3 linked regions of the Schizosaccharomyces pombe genome follow. The protein of the gene in region 2 interacts with the protein of the main gene of each other region in a biochemical or structural test. Each region holds a gene or a part of one and is shown on either strand. Other genes may lie near its edges. The genes, in order: cdc10, res1 and rep2.

What was found.
Region 1: the proteins of res1 (region 2) and cdc10 form a complex in vitro, tested with the Schizosaccharomyces pombe proteins (one study listed by BioGRID).
Region 3: the proteins of res1 (region 2) and rep2 form a complex in vitro, tested with the Schizosaccharomyces pombe proteins (one study listed by BioGRID).

Annotation. Positions count from the first base shown.
Region 1 is NC_003423.3:2,760,241-2,767,525, reverse strand, and holds cdc10 (DNA-binding transcription factor, MBF transcription factor complex subunit Cdc10), read left to right. Parts: upstream 1-3,725; 5' UTR 3,726-3,935; coding exon 3,936-6,239; 3' UTR 6,240-6,360; downstream 6,361-7,285. Other genes in the region: PAN complex subunit Ppk26, read left to right, coding at 1-69, 129-169, 215-371, 425-520, 560-704, 747-896, 942-1,052, 1,090-1,315 and 3 more; mmp2 (endopeptidase catalytic subunit), read left to right, coding at 2,530-2,771, 2,844-2,993, 3,061-3,211; GARP complex subunit Vps52, read right to left, coding at 6,361-7,285. UniProt on the Schizosaccharomyces pombe protein: Major component of the cell cycle transcription factor complex MBF (MCB binding factor, also known as DSC1), that controls G1-S phase specific gene expression. Involved in the control of rRNA production, via interaction with pol5.
Region 2 is NC_003423.3:1,229,765-1,237,234, reverse strand, and holds res1 (MBF transcription factor complex subunit Res1), read right to left. Parts: upstream 4,650-7,470; 5' UTR 3,901-4,649; coding exon 3,675-3,900; intron 3,548-3,674; coding exon 1,860-3,547; 3' UTR 1,648-1,859; downstream 1-1,647. Other genes in the region: GTP-binding protein Nog1, read left to right, coding at 1-351; RNA polymerase I transcription factor subunit Rrn11, read left to right, coding at 868-1,224, 1,339-1,584; orotate phosphoribosyltransferase Ura5, read right to left, coding at 5,509-6,156; acetylglutamate synthase Arg6, read right to left, coding at 6,442-7,470. UniProt on the Schizosaccharomyces pombe protein: Acts as a positive regulator of the mitotic cell cycle and as a negative regulator of sexual differentiation. May be involved in the transcriptional regulation of the cdc22 and cdt1 genes. Is an integral component of the DSC1-like complex.
Region 3 is NC_003423.3:1,714,370-1,720,448, reverse strand, and holds rep2 (transcriptional activator MBF subunit Rep2), read right to left. Parts: upstream 2,747-6,079; 5' UTR 2,226-2,746; coding exon 1,566-2,225; 3' UTR 1,127-1,565; downstream 1-1,126. Other genes in the region: mrpl35 (mitochondrial ribosomal protein subunit L35), read left to right, coding at 1-898; cytochrome c oxidase subunit VII Cox7, read left to right, coding at 5,013-5,078, 5,146-5,238, 5,289-5,309; cay1 (cactin), read right to left, coding at 5,563-6,079. UniProt on the Schizosaccharomyces pombe protein: Transcriptional activator which interacts with the mcb binding subunit complex formed by res2 and cdc10. Rep2 is required for the mitotic cell cycle start.

The sequences.
Region 1 (7,285 bases), 1.5 Mb from region 2:
TGTAGAAATATCTTACTTTATGGATCCTGTAAGCATTCAGAAAATGGATGTGCTTTTCGACATGATGGTGTAAGTATAGGCGTATTCTCTTAACTTCAGAGAAGCTTCTTGCTTACGATTGTTTGTAGCCTTTCATCCCTTCTTCAGAGAATTTGGAGCAATACTCAGTGTATGATTTTTTTTAAGGCTTTGTACGTATAATTAACCTCGCTAGTAAGAAAAAACTGAATGCTGCGTCGGCCTCTTTTCAACCTGTTCGCGCTTTACCAGTAAAGGCTGCTGGCGCTGCAGTATTTGTTCCTAAATCACAAGAAAAATCTCTTTTTCTATCTAGAGAGCGTACCCCTGTTGCGCTTTCACCAGGTAGTCATGTATGTCTGGCTAACAGCTTATATTTTTCTTACTAATTTTACTGTAATTTTAGGCTATTAATCCTTACAATAATGCATCTATGTTGGTCAATGAGCCTTTTCATGATGACTCTGGGGTTTATTATACTCGTCAAAACCAGTTTAAACCCGTAAGTCTAAAGCCTTATTATTGTTGTTGACAACAACAGACATTGTACAATTTATATAATCCGCAACCTTCTCCCATGCCAACTTTACTTCCTTATGAAAGAACTGTAAACGGTCTATTTATTGATGATACGACTAGAGAAAGAATCGAGAGAAAGAGCGAGGCATCCCGTCAGACAATTTCAGGTACTTAATTTGTGTCTAGCTTCCTTTATACTAATATTTTAGCGCTTCCGTCTATTATATCTTCATATACTTCTTTGGCGCCACTGAATACAAAGCTTTATCGGTATAAAGAGCAAATTGGATTCTCTTCTTGGACGTACAAATGCACTTCTTCCATCGATGGGAATGCTTACGTTTTGAAACGACTCCAAGGTAACCTTCAGATTCATAAATTGCAATTGCTAATATATTTAAAAGACTGTTCAATTAATATTGATACGTCGACTGTCGACAAGCTTAAAAATGTTTTTCATCCAAATATCGTACCATTCCATTCTGCTTTTCATACTGATACATTTCATGATTCTTGTAAGTTTATTTTACTAAACCTTACTAATTAATCAAGCGTTACTATTAATTTATGATTTTTATCCGTGTACTACAACCCTTGGTGAGCTCTACCTAAACAATTCTAAAAATTCTGTCAAGTTGGAGGAAAATAGAAAAATTCCAGAACGAGAGTTATGGAATTATTTTTTCCAGCTTACTATCGCTTTGTCATATCTACATAAATCCGGGTTTGCTTGCAACAAGCTTACTCCGTCGAGAATCCTTGTGGATCAAACTGAAAGGTATTTTTTTTTGAACATTTTTTATGTTTTGATGGAATACATTTCTTTAATTCATTAATGACTTATACTAACGTGTAAAGGATTCGTATTAGTGGTTGCGCTGACTATGAATTGGTAGTGTCAAACAAGCCTCCATTAGAGGAACGAAAGAAGCAGGATTTTGTAGATCTTGGAGTTGTGATTGCGAATTTAGCTACTGGAAGAACTGATATGGACATGTCTTCAGCCGCACGAGCAATTTATAGTACATATTCGAGGGAATTTTATAAAGCGGTTTTATACTTTGTATCGGAAGTTCCTGAGGATAAAAACTTGGAGTTGTTTTTGCAAAATCACATAGAAAGTTTTTTCCCTATAATGAGTTCACCATACGTGGAATGCGAAAAAATGGAGAGAAAAATTTCGGACGCTTTCCAACACGGTCGATTTTTTAATATTTTGTGCAAGATTATGTTTATTATTGATAATAATAGAGCTTCTCGTGAATATCCTATCGCACGAGAAAAAGAAATTTCATTAATCTACTTATTACGAGATTATCTTTTCCATCAGATAGATGAAGATGAGTGTCCTGTGATAGATTTATATCAAGTGCTGAATCGCCTGGGAAAGGTAAGTTTTTTACATTTTTCTCATTATTGCATTTATTAATTCATTAGCTTGATGCCGGTATAAATCAAGCCATCGCATTAATTTCCCGAGATGAACTTGATTGTGTTTCAGTTTCTTATGGGGAGGTAAGTATTTGCTCAAAAAGCCATAGTGGGTGCTTAGTAAATTAGACTACTTTTCCACACTATATAGCCTGTTTGTTTGCAAAATTACTAACAATAACAAATGTAGCTAAAAGCTTGGTTGGACAACGTTTACGAAATGGAAATAAATTCTTAAAATAAAACATTTTTCTTTACAGAATATTTATTTGTTTTTTTGTATCTATTACCATGGTTGTTAATTTAAGTAAATAATAGTTTTCGCTATAATAATATTAGAAGGAAGCTAAGCTTAATGTGGTTTTGAATTACCTACTGCAACACACCGTATTGAAACAAAAACGATCAGGAATAGAAGCCTGACACTTATCAGATAAAATTCATTAATACGTTTTCCTGGTTTAATTATTAATTACGGAAACTCCCATGCTTGTTAAGGTACATACAGACGGTTAATCATAAACTTCTTAGAGGAGAGAGTTTAGCAGTTGTCCTCAAAAAATGGCAAACCCTTTCGTTCGAAATCAATCTTTTAAATCAGTATTTTTTAAAAATTTAGTCGGAATTACCCTATGGGTACCCGTATTAATGTTCGTTGAACAACATGTAGTCAGCGTCGGTACAATTGAAGGTAGATCTATGAAACCAGCCTTTAACCCTGAGACAAACATGCTGCAGAGAGATAGGGTACTACTTTGGAAATGGAATAAGGATTACAAAAGAGGAGATGTAGTTATACTACGGTAAGTTCTTGGATCGTTGCAGGGTCTTTCGGTACTGAGTTTCCCTTTTTATCGTTACTAATAAGCAACAAGCTCTCCAGAAAACCCAGAGGAACTATTGGTAAAAAGAGTTCTAGGAGTAGAATACGATATCATGAAAACGAGACCTCCTAAAAAGTTGTCATTAGTACCCGTTCCCGAGGGACATGTGTGGGTCGAAGGCGATGAACAATTTCATTCTATGTAGGTTTCCAACAATTGTTTTTTTACTTTTTCGTTTTCTTCTATAGAGATATTAACTAGTTTACAGTGATAGTAACAAATTTGGCCCAGTATCGACAGGACTCATCACTGCCAAAGTGATTGCAATTTTGTTTCCCTTCTCTCGTGCAGGGCGTATTGATCATGAAGGTTTCCGAAAGAATGCAGTGTTTTTAAGTGGAAAACGTTCTGTTAAGTAAGCTGCACCACAGTGAACCTGTTTCCTTGACAGTTTAGTTCCATGCTGGTTGGTGCTTATTTACATTTCTTTTAAGGAACACGTTATCCTTAAATTTAATTTATTTCGACGCGTCGCGTTCTATATATGACGTCATTAATATGTCTATCTATTTACCTATTTGAAAAAGATGGAAGTTGGAAGCTACTTTGTATTAGAAATACCAATAAAAAAATATAATTTTTTCATACTCAACATCAAAACTTTTATTTAGGGAAAATTAGAATTGACTGAAAAATCCGTCTCTTTTGCATATCCCGAAACAGTAAAGTCGTTGAGTATAGCAAAGTTGGAAATTTTTCAACAGGGTATTTGAAATGAGAAAGAATTCCATTTCTAAGTAGCCTTTAAATAAAACCCCCAGAAGAAACGAACATTGAAGTAGTCCTTTGTTTTCCTTAGGAAGCCTCATATATCGTTACTTCGAATACGGTCTAACGCCGTACCAAATGTATACAGCTGCGTGAACCTTCCCAGAGCGAATTTGTGTATAACACGAAATCCGAAAAAATTACTTCTATTTATTTGAAAAAGAAAGGAATTCACAATCTCTTAAACAAACCAAGTGGTGAGGAGCTCGAGTCTTCTTTCATGGTCAGTTCAGCACCCTTATTTTCGAGAAAAACGTGCTGCCCTTTATAAAAAATTCGATATTTTTTCGGCATTTTTTATTTTAATATACTATAATGGCTTCAGCCAATTTTATTCGCCAGTTTGAGCTGGGGAACGATTCTTTTTCATACCAAAAACGCCCAGAGGATGAGCCATCACAACCCCTTTCAAACAGAAATATAAACAAACTAAACGATTCATCTACTTTAAAAGACTCTAGTTCAAGGATTTTTATTAACTCCCAAGTTTTACGTGATGGCCGACCCGTAGAATTGTATGCTGTCGAATGTTCAGGCATGAAATATATGGAGCTTAGCTGTGGGGATAATGTTGCTCTTCGAAGATGTCCAGATTCTTACTTTAATATCTCTCAAATACTTCGACTTGCTGGTACTTCGTCATCTGAAAACGCCAAAGAATTGGATGATATTATCGAGAGTGGGGACTATGAGAATGTTGACTCCAAACACCCTCAAATAGATGGAGTATGGGTTCCATATGATCGAGCAATTTCTATAGCAAAGCGATATGGGGTTTATGAAATTTTACAACCATTAATTTCTTTTAATCTTGATTTATTCCCCAAATTTTCAAAGCAGCAACAAATCGAAAGTTCTTCAATCTCCAAAAATTTAAATACTTCTTCTTTTAATACGCGATCCCCTTTGAGGAATCATAATTTTTCAAACCCTAGCAAGTCTTCAAAGAATGGGGTGCACACTATAAACAATATGCAGAGTTCACCTTCACCTTCTTCCTCTTTCTTACTACCTTTAACTCAAATTGATAGCCAAAATGTTAAACGCTCTAACAATTACCTCTCCACCTCTCCACCTATCCTTGAACAGCGTTTAAAACGGCATAGAATTGATGTCAGTGATGAAGACTTACATCCCTCCTCACAGTTAAATGATAATGAGGCCTCTTCATTGTTTCCAGATACGCCAAGGTTGAACCATTCACTTTCTTTTGTATCCTTGGTTTCTAGTCTTCCTCCACTTGATCAGAATATTATGCAGGATTATCATACATCAAAAGACATTTTGACCTCTATCTTTTTAGATGTAAACTTTGCTGATTCCAGCGCCTTAGAAGCAAAGCTGTCGGACTCATTAGATTTGGATGTCCCCATTGACGAACTTGGACACGCCGCTCTGCACTGGGCAGCAGCCGTTGCCAAAATGCCTTTGTTACAAGCCTTAATACATAAAGGAGCTAATCCTTTACGTGGCAACCTCACAGGAGAAACGGCATTAATGAGATCGGTTTTGGTAACCAATCATCTCAATCAGAACTCTTTTGGTGATTTACTAGACTTGCTTTACGCATCTCTTCCCTGTACAGATCGAGCTGGACGGACCGTCGTTCATCACATTTGTCTTACTGCAGGTATAAAAGGCCGAGGTTCAGCATCGAGATATTACTTAGAAACCTTATTAAATTGGGCAAAGAAACATGCAAGTGGTAACAACGGATATATGCTGAAAGACTTCATAAACTATTTAAATCATCAAGATAAAAATGGGGATACAGCTTTAAATATCGCAGCAAGAATTGGAAATAAGAACATTGTTGAAGTTTTAATGCAAGCCGGAGCTTCCGCTTATATTCCTAATCGTGCAGGGTTAAGCGTAGCAAATTTTGGAATTTTTGTTGAAAACGCATTAAAACAACCCGAAGACTCAAAACAAACAAAAGTTTCCCTTATGAGTGAAAATCTGTCCAGCAAAGAAAAGACTGCTGTCCCTCCTCGTCAAAAGAGTAGAGACATTATCGCCTCTGTGACCGATGTAATATCTTCTCTGGATAAAGATTTTCAGGATGAAATGGCTGCAAAACAGTCTATGATTGACTCAGCCTACACCCAATTGCGTGAATCTACAAAAAAGCTGTCCGATCTTCGTGAACAACTACACGTGTCCGAGACGCAAAGAACTTTGTTTCTTGAATTAAGGCAACGTTGTAAAAATCTTATGACTTCGATCGAAGAACAGAAAAGTGAATTAAGTAATCTTTATGAATCTTTTGATCCCAATGGAATACACGATTCATTATCATTGGATGCTGACGCTCCTTTTACTGTCAATGAAAACAACAACAAAAATTTATCTATTGCTGAATTGAAGTTTCAAGTTGCTGCTTATGAGAGAAATGAAGCCAGATTAAACGAATTAGCGAACAAACTTTGGCAACGAAATTCCAACATAAAATCAAAGTGCCGTCGGGTTGTTTCCCTATGCACCGGTGTCGATGAATCTCGAGTGGATTCATTATTGGAAAGTTTGTTACAAGCCGTGGAAAGTGACGGTCAACAGGGAGAAGTAGATATGGGTCGAGTTGCTGGATTCTTACGTGTTGTTAAAGAACATCAAGCATAATATTGCTTTTTGTGGTTTACCACTAAAGTGTCCTGAAATAATTAACTACTTTAATTTTTTTCTTAATATAGAATCCTACCAAATGAATAAAACGTAATTTATTATATGTTAATAATCTTGGCTATTGGAAATTAGTTAAATTTTCATTAAGCTTTTCGAAATATGTTTTTTGCTCTATAGCTAAATTTCCCGATACGCCGCTAAGAACAGTCGAAATGAGGGTATAATTATTGGACAAAAACCTACTTTGTCTCCTTTTGTCATTAACTGTTTTACACAGGTTTTGTAACATGCTCACATAATCCTGAGCTAGTCTTGAAGCACTTCGTGCAACAGGCTCGGCTTCTACGACATTAACACTTAGCATCGAAAGGCTATAAAGTAGTTCAGCTACTCGCTGCGAAAGTGGATGAGGTCGCGAAGTGATTTCTTCTGGCTTCACAGATAAGTTAGTTTTACGGAGTGACTCACAGTGCATGTCCATGACAGCTTGAAAGCGAGGCCACAGAAAAAGAATCATGGAGTTATAGTGTGGCTCAATAACAGGCACTATATTAGTTTGCGCCTGTAAAGCTAATTTTTGAGTAAAACGAATGGACTTCAAAATACCTATGCAATCGATACTGCTTGATATCAATCCTGTAATGTATTTGCGTGAAAAATGTAAAGTTTTTTCAAAGATAGCGGCAAAAACGGTAGCCTGCTGATCTTTAGAGAGGTTAAAGTACTCCAGCAAAAAAGCATATTCAGAAGAGACGTGTTCCGTCAAGACTAATTCCCATGAGCAATAAACACGTTCAATATATTGTGGGGAAGATTCAATATGATGCATTGTAGATGCTGTCAACACAGAGTTCATATCAAAATCCTGAGGGCGCAAGTTTACTGAGAGCATTTGATTCCCGTAAGATTGTTGTGCTCCTTTGGAAAGGTTGAAGAGTCCTTTCCGATCCTCTTCAACGCGAATAGTTTCTCCCTTAAGGACATGAACTTTGTCCAAAAACCTAGAGTACTGTTCGAAGTGGTATAGATAAAACCAATTCATC
Region 2 (7,470 bases):
TCCTTACAATCTGCTGGGCTTCCCTCAGATTCTATTGAAGAGCGGGCACGCTCCCGTGCACGTACTGCAGCAGCAAACGAAATGGCTGATGGTTCAGGTGTTGACTTGTTAATGAATGAAGGTGAAGAAATTCGCTCTAAATCTATTGCCCCACGTTCACAAAGCAACCGTCGCGAATCTGGTGTTCACGCAGAAGGTGCCAGATCTTACGCTGATCGCCTGGCTCGTGTCAAACAGATACACCGTAACCGCATGGCCAGGGCTTCTGAAAGTGATCGACATGTTATTGCTGCCAAGCCTAAACATTTGCTTAGCGGTAAACGTGGTAACGGTAAAACTCAAAGAAGGTAGAATAATGGTTTTGGACTTGGGGTTCTTTTTTTATATAAAACTTTAATATTTGGTTGGTTATTTGGGTTTGGATAATATGGGTGGACTTGCAAGACTTTCTACCTACATCCCTTTTTGTTTCTTCACATAAATTACTTTTGTTGGAGGATGTTGTCCATTAGGAAAGAAATTTAATATATTTCAAAGCTTTTGCTTAATGTACTTTCAGTTGACAATTGAAGCAGTTAATTATGTAGCCGTGCATAACAACACCTGTAGTTTTTGGCTGTAAATTTTATGCTGAGTAAATAGATGAAAGTAAAAAGAATGAGTAATTAAAATCTAAAGTTAATCAATAGCTAAGGTTGATCGTTGTTGAACAGAGAGGCAACTGTCGTGCTCAAGTGCTAACTGCTTTAAGATGCCAAAAACCATACCCTTGCAATTAGCAAAATAATGCTAGATTAAAAGGTTATAGTTAGATCAACTATGCTTTGTTTAAATAAGTAATACTTATAGCTTGATTCTGTTATAATCATGTTCTCTCCTTGTACCGTTAAAGAAAAACGTTCAACTTTGCGAAGTGTCGCTCCCAACCCGGAATCTTCTGTTATACCTCCAATTCCTTTACCATCAAGAAGGTATAAAACAAGACATATTGATGCACTTTGTTCGTTGATGCACCTTTGCTTATTGCGCAAAGATTACCCAAGGGCATCTAGGGCTTTTTCATTACTGTTGAGATCTAAGAGTGTTGACATTTCCAAATTATGGAACATTGGACTTGAAATTTTGAACAAAGTTAATCCAGAAGCTTCATCAGAGTATATGGAGCGACTAATAGCTCGATATCCTGCGCGTCCATCCATTAACAACTCTTATCCGAATCGTAATGTAAGTGTATACTGGTACAAAACGTCTATACTTTCATCTTTTCGTGTATTGAATTTTTTGTCCCTTCTTATTTGAAATCAATCATATGTCGCAATTCTATACTAACATTTACAGGCAGAACATTTTTTTCCAGCATATATCATGCTACTTATTCAGCGCCAAGAATACAATAAAGCTATGAAGTTGCTTGATGAGTATTTGCTGTTACCACCCTACAATCAGAATCCTGCATTGCATGAGTATTCCGGAATGTTGTGTTTTGAACTTGCCAAGGAGGAAGCTTCAGAATCTGAGCGAACTAAATGGATTGAAAAGGCGAAATACAACTTTTCAAACGCAGGAATTGACGTCGAATTGTAGATTTAACATTCCCATGGCATTTCAAAAAGCACATTAGTATATTTAATATTTTAGATTGACCATCAGAAAAATTATGTATATTAGCAAATAATAAGATGGGAAGATACATTTAAATTTAAATTTAAAACTAATCATTAGATAGCCAACGACTGTATAAAAAGATTGTTAAATATCTATAAGTTCAAGTTGGTATTTATATAAAAAACATAAAGAATGCAAAAAATAAGATAACGAAAGAAAAAATTATTTTGAATAATAATTTAAAACCAAAAAAATTAAGATCCACTTTGATCTGTATTAATCGTATTATACATTCCCATAGAAAGCAAGTTCAAAATTTCGTTAATTTTCTGTTTCCGTTGCGCTTGCAATGAGCATAATTGCTCAACGAGCTTTTCACGAGCAGCTTCGTTTTCAGCTGTAAAAAGATCAACTTCGTGTTTTGAGCTTAAAGACGAACGGTTCGTTTTAGTATCATGACCAACAAGGTTTTTGGTCTCCGAGATATCAGCTAACTCATCAGTACTCCATATTTGAGAAAAGTAAGTTACGTATTTTTTTAATTGATGAAGCTGAACTGTTTCAAGGTAATATCTAGCAGTTTTCAATGTATGCAGAAATTTTTTACACTGGTGAATCAAATCCTCCCGCTGATTTACCAAGTAGTTCTCGTCATTATTGGTACGTTCATTCCATAATCTTTGGCAAGTTTCAGTTTCCCGAACTGTTTGCTCCAACGCCTCCATTGCCAAATTATAGGTTAGTTGTTTTTCAGCAAGAGATGCTTCATGGCATTTTGAAAGTTCGCTCAGCTGAGTGAAGACATTGGGAAGGGTTTGGTGAGTAAGTTTATTAGAAAAGTAAGAAATAGGTTTTTTGGACGATAAGTGGTCATCAAGTGATTGCGGATATTTTAAGTTATCTATCAAATTATCCTCGATTTTGGAATTTAAGGGGGAATCATCATTTTCGGGAAAAGACATGTCTTTCGAAGACAAAAAATCTGTTGGGTATTGGCCCTGATTATTTGGTATGGAGGATGATGCATAAAAGGATAATAATAATCTCGCGCATTTCTTTGCACCATTTCTAGCGCAGATCAAAAGAGCGGTATCCCCATGATCATCCTGAAGGTTTATAATTTGGGCAGCGACATCAACGGATTGTGTTGCAGTTAAATTTTGCAATAAGATATCCATATAATAACGAGCGGCTTCCATCTTTGATTTAGAAGAAGCTAATAATGCGATGTGGTGAAAGACGGTTTGGCCAAAAGAGTCGTTCATGCAGATAGCAGATTGAAGCAACTCCGAAACTACCTCAAAAGTCTGTAAATCATAGTTCATGGTAAACATTACACAGCGCATCAAAGATGTTTGTTGAAGGTAATTGACAGCAACTACGTTGGCGCCTGCTTGCAATAGTGCATGCATCATTTCCAAATTTCCCATTGCAGCAGCCCAATGAAGTGCTGTATGACCATCCTCATCAATGCCAGCATTAACATCCCAATCTGATGGCCGATCATATACGAAATCAGGAGGTTGTGTAGTATTTGGTAATAAAAAGTAATCCAAGAGAGACTGCGCATAATTGTTTGAAGAAAACGGAGAAGCTTTGATATCGTGCAAAGATCCCGTAAAGGAATCAGAAGGCATATCGGGAGAGCGCGTGAAATCAGATTGAAGAGACAAAGCATCATGGATTCCTGACATTCTAGAAGTAGATGTCATATTATTGGAAGATGTGTAAGGGTAGAGTAAAGAATGCGAAGGCCGGGAAAATGACTTTTTTACTGGACTGTTTCGTCGATATGCTTCTGTAGGCTTACGATTGCTCTGAGGAGTGAACGTAGACATTGGCATGAACGCAGAGCCAGAGTATTCAATCAGAGGTTGTATTAAATCAAAAACATTATATTCATGAGCAAGTTCAACAGCTCTTTCAGAGGGTACCCAAGTTCCTGAATGAATAGTTAGTAACAGGCATCCAAAAAAGTATAAATTGATAAATAAAAACAACAGAGACAAAAATTTTATGTTATTTAAGTAGTTTTAAACCTATTGATATAGTAAGAAGTTAACACAAACCTTGATATTTTCCACAACCACCTTGAATTTTTTCATGAAGTCCCTTTTGAGCGAATTTCTCCAGAATCCTTGTCCTCCTGGGTTTATCGAGCTCTGCAATTTTAAGGATTTGCGTGGCATTAAGCCAGTTATCATGACAACGTTTCATTAAAGGAAAGCCATTGATCGTATACTCAAATACTTCCACTCCTGAATAGGTGATTTTATGTATTTGGTCGTTATACATAACGGCACTATTGGCAAGCAATTTAAAAAAAAGGAAGGAAGGAAGAGCTTCAAAACTTGATGCAATAACAACGTTTCGTCTCTCTAAATGTTTGTAATAATTTAATGTCTCAACTCCACAGCGCCAGCTATTAATATCATATAAAAAAAAAAACGAAGCAAATGAGAAAGAAGAAGCAAATTGAAATTTCCTCTACAAAATATCGATAGTTTTTGAAAACCGAGTATTTATAGCAGATAAAGTCGGAAATACATATGATACTAACTGCATGCACTAAAGAAAGGATATATTCTCTCAGCGGCGTTTGCCTCAAAGATTTTTTCAATTAAAAAGTATTTAACTCTATGTTTTGAGTTAAAAACAGATGTTTTTAAAGACCTCTGCTATCCCTAAAAATCCACGTATCTTACCAGCTGATGTAAGATACTCAACTACCAAGAACTTTAATATGTAAGGACAGAAACCTTTCGAAACTTTCCAGATCACGATTTGTATAATTTAAATCAAAAAGCTGTAGATTTGGGTTTATCGACTACGGAGCCGATTTAGTCCGGATTTTTTCAACAGCGAGATCTCAGAAAAATCGAAAAACACTGCTTCTTACTCACCAAAAAAATCCCTAAAATCACAGTAAAGTGCTTCAGGAAATGCGGATCCTTTTTTTGATAAAAAGGAAATTTGCTTGCTTTTTTAAGATCTCACACAAACAGAACTAAATCTTTCACCCTCTCTTATGGTGAGTTAGTGGTAAACGATAAATACTTGAAGGTTACATATTAGTAACTCAATTATTGTACCATTCGATTCCACTATGTTAAACCAATTGTATTACATAAATGATAAAGAATTTCATTGTTCAACTCGAGTTTTTCTAATAAACCATTTTTATTTATAGACTGCAGTGACTACTTATTCAAATTCACATTGAATATGAGAATAAAAACATTCCAAAATTTCTTAACATTTTCTTGTCATAATAAAAAGTTAATCACCAGGCTTCTGTTTAAAGGTTTTACCATTATTTAATATTTGGTATTTCAAACACAGAGCATAAATACCCGTCGCAGAATTGAAAAATAAAATCCTAAATTTTTTATAATTGCCCATTATATGCGTCTTTCGAACGTAAATAATCATCACTAAAAACCAAATCCTACAAATTTTTACAAAAATAATACACAAATACCATTTTGTGAAACATTAATTATCCCTCAACTCAATATTTTGGTAGCTTCATTCCTAACTGTCATCTTGGAAAGATTCGAATAACACAAAAGAAGAAACAAACACAAAAAAAACAGATTCACGGAACTAATCAAAAGATAGATGGATATGTGCAAAACAAAAGCTTAACAAGTAAACCAATTTCCTTCGTCTATTATAGAGAAATTTTTGAATACCGCTAAATGCAATCGCTTTATAGAAAATTCCTTCTAATATGAGTTGTATCTATCACCACAAATATACAGATAAAAAAATTCTATAACATATGTAAATACCAACTAACTTCACTCTCTTTAAAAAAGCAAAGCTAAAAACCAAAAAAGATACTTATCCAATTATTCTCTTTCCTCCTTCCAAATTTTTAAAAGAAACATTACCATAAGCTCATTTGGCTTGGTACTGCTGTCTGTAAGCATCCATTGCCTTTGATTCAGCTGCAGTTAAGTCTGATTTGGTAAAGTCAACAATGTCGTCCAAAGTAAGGATGGAGGAAACGGGTAAGTTAAGCTCCTTCTTCAATCTACCAATGGTACTTTCGTTTACTTCGGGGTCCAGTCGCTCTTGGCGGTCAAGCAAAAGGACGATACCAGCCAATTTTACGTGCTTAGGTTCTAAGAAGGAAATTGCTTCACGAATGGCAGTTCCAGCGGTAATAACATCATCCAAAAGTAAAACCTTTTTACCTTCCATTTCGGCGCCTACAAGGTTACCTCCTTCACCATGGGACTTGGCCTCTTTGCGGTTATAGGCAAATCCATAGCTCTTTCCAGTTTTTTCATAAAGTTTGACGGCCGTTATAGCAGCCAAAGAGATACCCTTATAAGCAGGACCAAATATGACATCAAAATCAACGTTCATAGCGATAATAGTCTCGGCATAGGCTTCTGCAAGAGCGCATAAATCGGCACCATGAGTGAAATTACCAGAATTGAAGAAGTATGGAGATTTTCTGCCTGATTTTAAGGTGAAAGTTCCAAACTTCAAAACATTATGTTCTAAGGCACGACGCAACAACTCAAGTTTATAAGACATGTTTACTACTAGTTTTGTTGATAAACGTTGATACTCACAAAAGAAAAAAGCTAGTATCACCTTTTCTAAGCTCTACATGGGGGTTATGTGGGGGAATAAACAAAAATCATAACTAAAGAAAAATGCAAGTTTGTAGGCAAACTACTCAATCTATAATCTAATGTGCAAAAGAGAATTAATGTCCTATCAAAATGGACTTTTTTCCTTTTATTAAAAAGTTTGACAAGTGCTTTTGAAGAAGCGAAATAATCTTGTCTCTGATAAAGTGCAATCGTTAACTTCCACTCAATTCAACCATGTTGGCTGAATTTTATCAATAACGCTCATATACTGGTTCACTCGATCCAAATTTCTGACATGTGAGTCTCCAGTCCAGAAAAGTTTCCAAGGTGTTTTGCTTGACTTTAAGGAGCCTACACTTCTTTCAAAGTACCATTTATTGACTGGATTAGTCAGGCGAGAGCGCCATATCAACTCTTTGGGAAATAAATCAGTCATAACATTAAACATAACATCAGATATTGCTGCTGAACCCTGGGCTCCTTGTGAGACGGCAAGCTTATCAAGATAAGGGACCTTTTCATTCGTTGTTCCATCTGGTTGTTCATAAGTTACAATGGCTGTCCCTAAATAGTCCCCTGCAATAATGACTGCAGCTAGCGAATTCTTCAACCTATCTAAATATGCGTCCATATCAAGCGTTCGCTTAAAGGAGTCATTAATTAAAACCCAAAGCCTTTCCCACGAAACGGAGCCATCAGTTAGACATTTCGGACCTAGGAATGTATATACCGGTACACCGCTACGCAAAACAGTTGTTTTCGTAATAGGAGATCGATCGCGCGGCAAGGAACATGAAATAATAGAGCGATCCGTCAAAACATTGTGAATTAACGGATTTTTGTCTAAGACAGGATTTGTAAGCATAGCATCCTCAGGCGTAGTGATTAGAGCAGAGGCATCATCCGGTAACATTTTCAAACAGCGTCTTACCAAAATCAAATTTTTTCTATGATAAGGTGGAAGTGTTTTCGCTAACTCGTCAAACTCTTGAGCCAGATTGATGAGAACATGACTAGAACCAGTTTGTCGTTTAGAACATGGCATGCCACCATTTTTATCAAGAATGACGATTCGGTCTACCCAAAACCCAAAGTTTGGCTTGTGTAACGAGTAAGTTAAACCAGCAAGAACCTCATTACCATCAATTGGAACCTCAATGACGTTGGGCATTAAAATCGAGCTTGGCACTATGACCGTGTAAAGTGAAGACAGCGCTTGAAAAATACCTTGCACATTCTCAACACTAGGGCC
Region 3 (6,079 bases), 490 kb from region 2:
GATTTCGAATGTCTGTAGGGCTCGCAGTATTTACAGTGCTGCTCAGGAAAATGCATATCGCTCTTCTGTAAAGTTAATACAGGAATACTCGGAGAAAGTTCACAAAAAGCTTCAGGCTAAATTATTAGAAAACCCAAGTGAAACTTCCCCAGAAATAGAACGGTTACAGGTTTTATCACAAATTAATTTACCGGAAGTACGCTCTAAATTTCATAAAAAGGAGATCGACTACACGAATCCGGTGTTCCTTTACATGCTTAAGCAACAGTGGGAAGATTATCAAAAATTGCTTCTTTTACAAAGATTGGAGCAGATGAAAGTAATAAAGGACTCTGGGATTGGCTCATTTTCGCCATCTGTCGACGTACAGTTAGGATTTAACCCCGAAAATAATGATTCTATCACTCCTGGCACTATCTTGCCAAGTACGGTTACTGTAAAGACCCCGTGGCTATCAGTTTTACCCTTTAATTGTAAAAAGAATCATTATTCAGTTATAACACTAGATTTGGATGTCCCGAATTACGAAACAAACCGGTTTGAGACTCATTGCAACTGGCTTTTAACGAATATCCCCATTGAAGCATCCAAACGTGTGCCCATTGATACTTCTAAAGCTTTCTTTCAATATCGGCCTCCTATTGTTCACCGTGGAGAAGATAAACACCGTATCTTAACCCTTGTTTTGCGGCAAAAGTCATCTAGTATTAGTATTCCTTCTAATGCACTTGTCCGCGAACGATTTGACCTCTCTGAGTTTTGCTCAATCTATGATCTTGAACCTGTTGGCGCTCATCTTTGGAGAAGTGGCTGGGATTCGGACGCAGTTGCATTATTATCCAAGCACCCGTCTGTACACGAATATCGAGATATCCGTGTAGAACGTATCCCTGCATGAAACTACTAAAAGAGCCCCTAAAATATTGTTTTTATAAGTCATTTTTTCATTCCATGTTTCAAAACATTAGCATGCATTGCTTCCCTCCTCTCGTGTCAAAATAGTTTATCTTTTACATGATTTCCCTTCTTAGGTTTTTTTAAGACGATAGCCTTGTTCCATAGTCCTATTTTACTTTCCTCTTATTAAATCAATTGCAAATCTGTGAATAAAATGCCTATCCTATGCCTTAAACTAAAGTCAGTTGTAACTTTAGAACTGGTGTTTCCTCTTTACAGTATGTTTGCTCAATCTAGATGAAGTGTGAGCTGTATTGTAATATATTTCATTATAGCTTTCGCGAAAATAAAAAGATAGTGTCTGTAATAGTGATATTTGATAGCAAAACATAGAAAAAAGTGCATAGATGATCGTTTCCTAAAACAAGGTTATAAGAGCAGTCTTCTATCATTTCAAACTATATTTCTTGATTACCTAATTGATGTAGTAAATTATACTATGATCTCAAAATAACTTCTCTAAAAGAAGTGATGAAGCTCTCAAGAGTAAAACGACTGAGCAAAATTTTAATACGCTTTATATAACCAGCGTCATTAATAAGCGATAATTATTACATATCCGTAATGCTACTAGATACGAAAGCTGCTTCTTTGTATGAACGGAAATATTAAAAGAGCCAGTCATCTATCACGTCCTCAACAAAAAAGTCCGAAAGCTTAAAGGGAACTTGATTCAAGCAGGTTGCTTCATGCATCATAAGAGCCGTTGAATGGTTGAACGTGGTATTGCATTTTGAGCAAATTAAGTTAGGGGTGGGCCTTAAAGCCTTTTGAACACGGCCTTCACGACGGCGCATTCTCCTTCGAAGGGCAGATTTAATAGCATCACGAGCATCAGAAGAGTGATTCTCTCTCTCCTCTTGCTTCTTGGATCTAGACAAGACCCTTGCCATTAAGCCCTTGTCTTGCTTTCTATGGATAATTTGAGGAGGATCAGTTTGTTGACGAATGAGTTGAGCAATTCCAAGTTTTCCTATGACTAAAGAAGCATAAGTGACATTCCGGCGATTTTGGCTTTCTACGAGCGGTTGTTGGTTTGGCGAAGCAGCAACTGGACTACCAAATTGGTGGTTTTGTTGTATGGGCAGACAATATGCGTTCATGAATGCAAAATCATCCGAGGAAGCAAAGGAAGAAACAGATGATGGAGAAGATACAATATCACATAGTGAAGGATTAGCAATACTGGATAAAATTGGGGATGACCATGGATATGTTGGGGGGTTGTTCAGACATGGCTTGCTAAGAGGAATGTCTGCAAAATGCATGGCTTTGGATTTTAGTCAAAGAGAGGAGACAGGATACCACGATTACTATTGTTCGAGCAAAATAAATAATTAAATCCAACAAACGAAAAGATTAAGGCTTCTGATAAGGGCGATGAACACAGCTAGCAGAAGCTTCCAAAAAGTGCGAATTAAACACAAAAAAACAAAATTGAAAGGAAAGAAAAACAAATAATCAAAACCAAAAACGATAGTTTCAATCACTCCTGTTACACAGATGTTCACTTTTAAAGCTATAGTCTCACAAACCAACGGAAAAGTGGGTGCGAAATGGACAAAAAACACAGAATTGATCGAAAATTGACTATAATATTAATCAAATAGTCTCTTTATTAAATGGTGTATCTCAACTTTCCCGCAAAATCGAACTTCCAAAAAACGAGTGATCAATGTCCGAAGAGAGAGAAGCACTACTAAGAAGAACGAAAGCAAAAGGCTTAATGTAGTTCACAAAGTAGTATTGAAAAATAAGTTTGCGATAAAATGGGAAAGAGATAGTGGTCGAGAAATGGAACCAAGGAAAAGAAGGTGAGAAAATAAGAAGTACAGTGGGTAAAGGTAACAAGTATGTTACTAATGTGATGGCTGCTAAGTAACCGAGAGAATAAAATCCTACGGATTAAAACAAAACAAAAGTTACTTAAGTTGTTTTTTACATTTTAAGCTACTCAACTGTTACCATATCCTTGCACCGTACTTTTTTTTCTATTACCAAGTTGCTCACCTACCACATGAATTGGTTGCCATTTGTTTACATGCCTCATAGCAACCATACTTAATTAAAACATTGATAACTTCTCAAAAAAAGAATATGCATAAGAAAAAAAGTCATTTACATGTTTAAAAAAATAAGGCGACACATTAAATTAATTAAAATGTATCTGTTTCTCGAAATCCAGAAATGCTACTGAAACAACAAATTTCTCCTGCATTGGGTCAATTCATTGACTATCGTAGCGAAACAAATTTTAAAAAATTTATTAAATATTTTGGAAGTTGTTTTCCATTTGGTTTCATTCATTCGTCAACCGTTTATCACATTAAAGCCTTGTAAACAAATTGCACCACAAACCTTTCTTAACGAGACCCAATCTTCAATATTTAGCTTAGCATTGCTCCGTTCCATTTAAAATTAATCACTCTATTTTATTTTAATTAGAATTAACATGGAGCTTGCTTCAAACTCTTAAAAACCAATTGCACACCACTTAACCCTTTATAATATAATTGTTGTGAAAATAAGCAGAAGTCCAGCAAAAACTTTCAATTTACCAATCAATCAACTTTTTAAAAGTAAATCAATTAAAGTTGTATTTTGAAGTCAAATACAGCAGATTATGGATTAACAAAGCAGAAAAGGGAATTCACTCAAAGAGACGTAAGGCTTAATTCTTTCTCACAAGTAGTTTAGTTTTTCAAACCCCTATTTTATTGAAGATTCTAATTATGCCCTATCACTGTAACTAAGCATCCAAAGGAGTCTTAGTACCTGTAAATGAGAATAGCATTAAAGCCGTAAAAGCTATAAACTTTTGTAGCGTAATTGCTATTTTTATAGACAGTTTTATCCTTCCAGAGGTTACTTTGCTTATTATTTTTAACTTCCTCCAACACTATGCCAATGAAAATACGTTAAATAATCTTAGTTTTGAACAGCTCACAGTGGAAGACTAATAAACAAAACTCGACATAATATTATGATGATCATCCAGTCACTAAGTGAGCTATATTTTAAGCTAATGCAATCAATTTTCTTCAAATGCATGAAATTTAAAGGTTTACCCCAACAATATAATGTTGTGTTCAGTTGTGATAATTGTAATCTTTAAAGTATAGCTCGGTTAAGTGCACCTTAATTTCATAAGATTATTATTAGGCCCATAAAATTTGACGAAAGTTTTCTCGGTATTAGTATTCCAAAAAAAAAAAAAAAGAAAAAAAAAAAAAAACAAGGAAGAAAGCAGAGTATCTTTAAAGTACTTTCTGAAATATAATGTATAAGAAACTGTTTTAGTTCATCAATTACTTGAAAAGACGATTTAGCATTTTCAATAACTCAAACCATCATATTCTATCTGTAAGTCATTGTCAGAATCAATTAAAAACTTTCAACGTCCTTCGTATAATATGAACATAGAGCTTTGTAATACGAATTGCTTAAATGGACAAGGAATTTTCGCGTTTGTAGAGAATACTGATGAAGGATAGAACATATGTAACTCAGTATAAAATTGTTCCCTTATCTCAACAACCATAAGAATTTATATAAGTACAAGCAAATGCATCTTCATTATTAACTTTGATCGCTATACTATTATTGCTCCGAGTATGCCATGGACGCATTTATACCATGTTTGAAAGAGATTCCCCAATAGCTTATAAGGAGATAGCTTTAGTTTTTGAAGAAGAATCAATCTGACAATGATTCCGTCCTTAAATTATTTGACAACAATTAATTTATATTATTAGCGTTAATCTCGTTCAGTAAGATTAATTTAAAATGATACATACCAAAAACGATAAAGGAGCATTTTTTTAATAATACGAATATCTTTCACTTAACCGTCTTATTAATATACTTAAATATGTGAGTTTATGAGGTTGACTCTGTGTTCTGGCACCAAGATGTACTAATTGGAACCATCAATCCTTTCCGCACCTACCTACATTTTATCGTTAACCCTCATTTTTTTAACAGTTTAACTTGTTAACTTGATTATTGGTTCGTTTTATAATTATTAAAACAATTATTAATTAAAAAAGAAAAAAATGAAGAATACTATTGTTCAACAACAACGCTTTCTCCAAAGCATCCACAAACCAACTTACTTGCAGGTAAGTTTTAAACGAAACTTGTTTTTAATTATGAAGAGAAAAAAGAACCTAATTGTTTAATATTTAGAGACCAGGTAGTTTTGCTCTTGTTTATCCTTACTACGCTGTTATGGCTGGTCTTGGTTTGTATTCCCTTTATGCCTCTGGAAGAGTCATTTTCGTATGTTATTACTCGATTTATACTATTTTTTTCTAACCTTTCAAAATTAGGGGAAGAAAGATGCTTTTTGAGGACATCCGAAGCATATTTTTATGTCAGGGAACTTCAAATTTCTATGATGCCTTTTCCTTCTATTTATCACCCCCTTCTTCTTGAATTAGTTTAGCTTTTCAATCACGAACTAATCGATTTCGTGTTTCTTTACGATTAAACTTATTTATGCAATACTTAAGTAGTTTAGTAGATGCCTTTTAAGGTTGTTTAGCTGCACATGTAACAGTAATTTAAATTTCATTAAATGTACAACATGATAAATCAGTTATTTTACCTTCTATGATGAAGCTTTTTGAATCGAAAATGGAGGGATAAAACACCATTGTCAAAACTGCTTTTAAACCCATGATCTCGTTTTGCACTGTAATCCCAATCTTTATCTACTATACTGAAGGCAATATCCTGATATGGTTCCCCAGCTATAAAACGTATAATGCAAACATCGTCTTGTAAATCAGTAGTGTCGCTTTTATTCTTCCTTCGTGTTCGTTCTATTCGATACGTTGGTGCACGGCCTGTACCTATTAAATCTGGATAAAAAACGTTAAAACGGTACCCTTGAACTGCTTTGGGAGGTGGGTGGGCTTCATTGAAATGTGCTTGATTATAAGAATTCCATTCAAACCCAAGCAAAACTCTATTAAAGTAGTGAGGCTTTTTCAAAGTAACCCCGTTTTCGTTAACAACACGGGTTTGCCCTTCTACATAGTCCCCAAGCATCTCTTGCTCCTCTGCATCATCGGATTGTAAGTATTCTCTTTCGAGTCGTGCCCTGTTGGCAATTGAA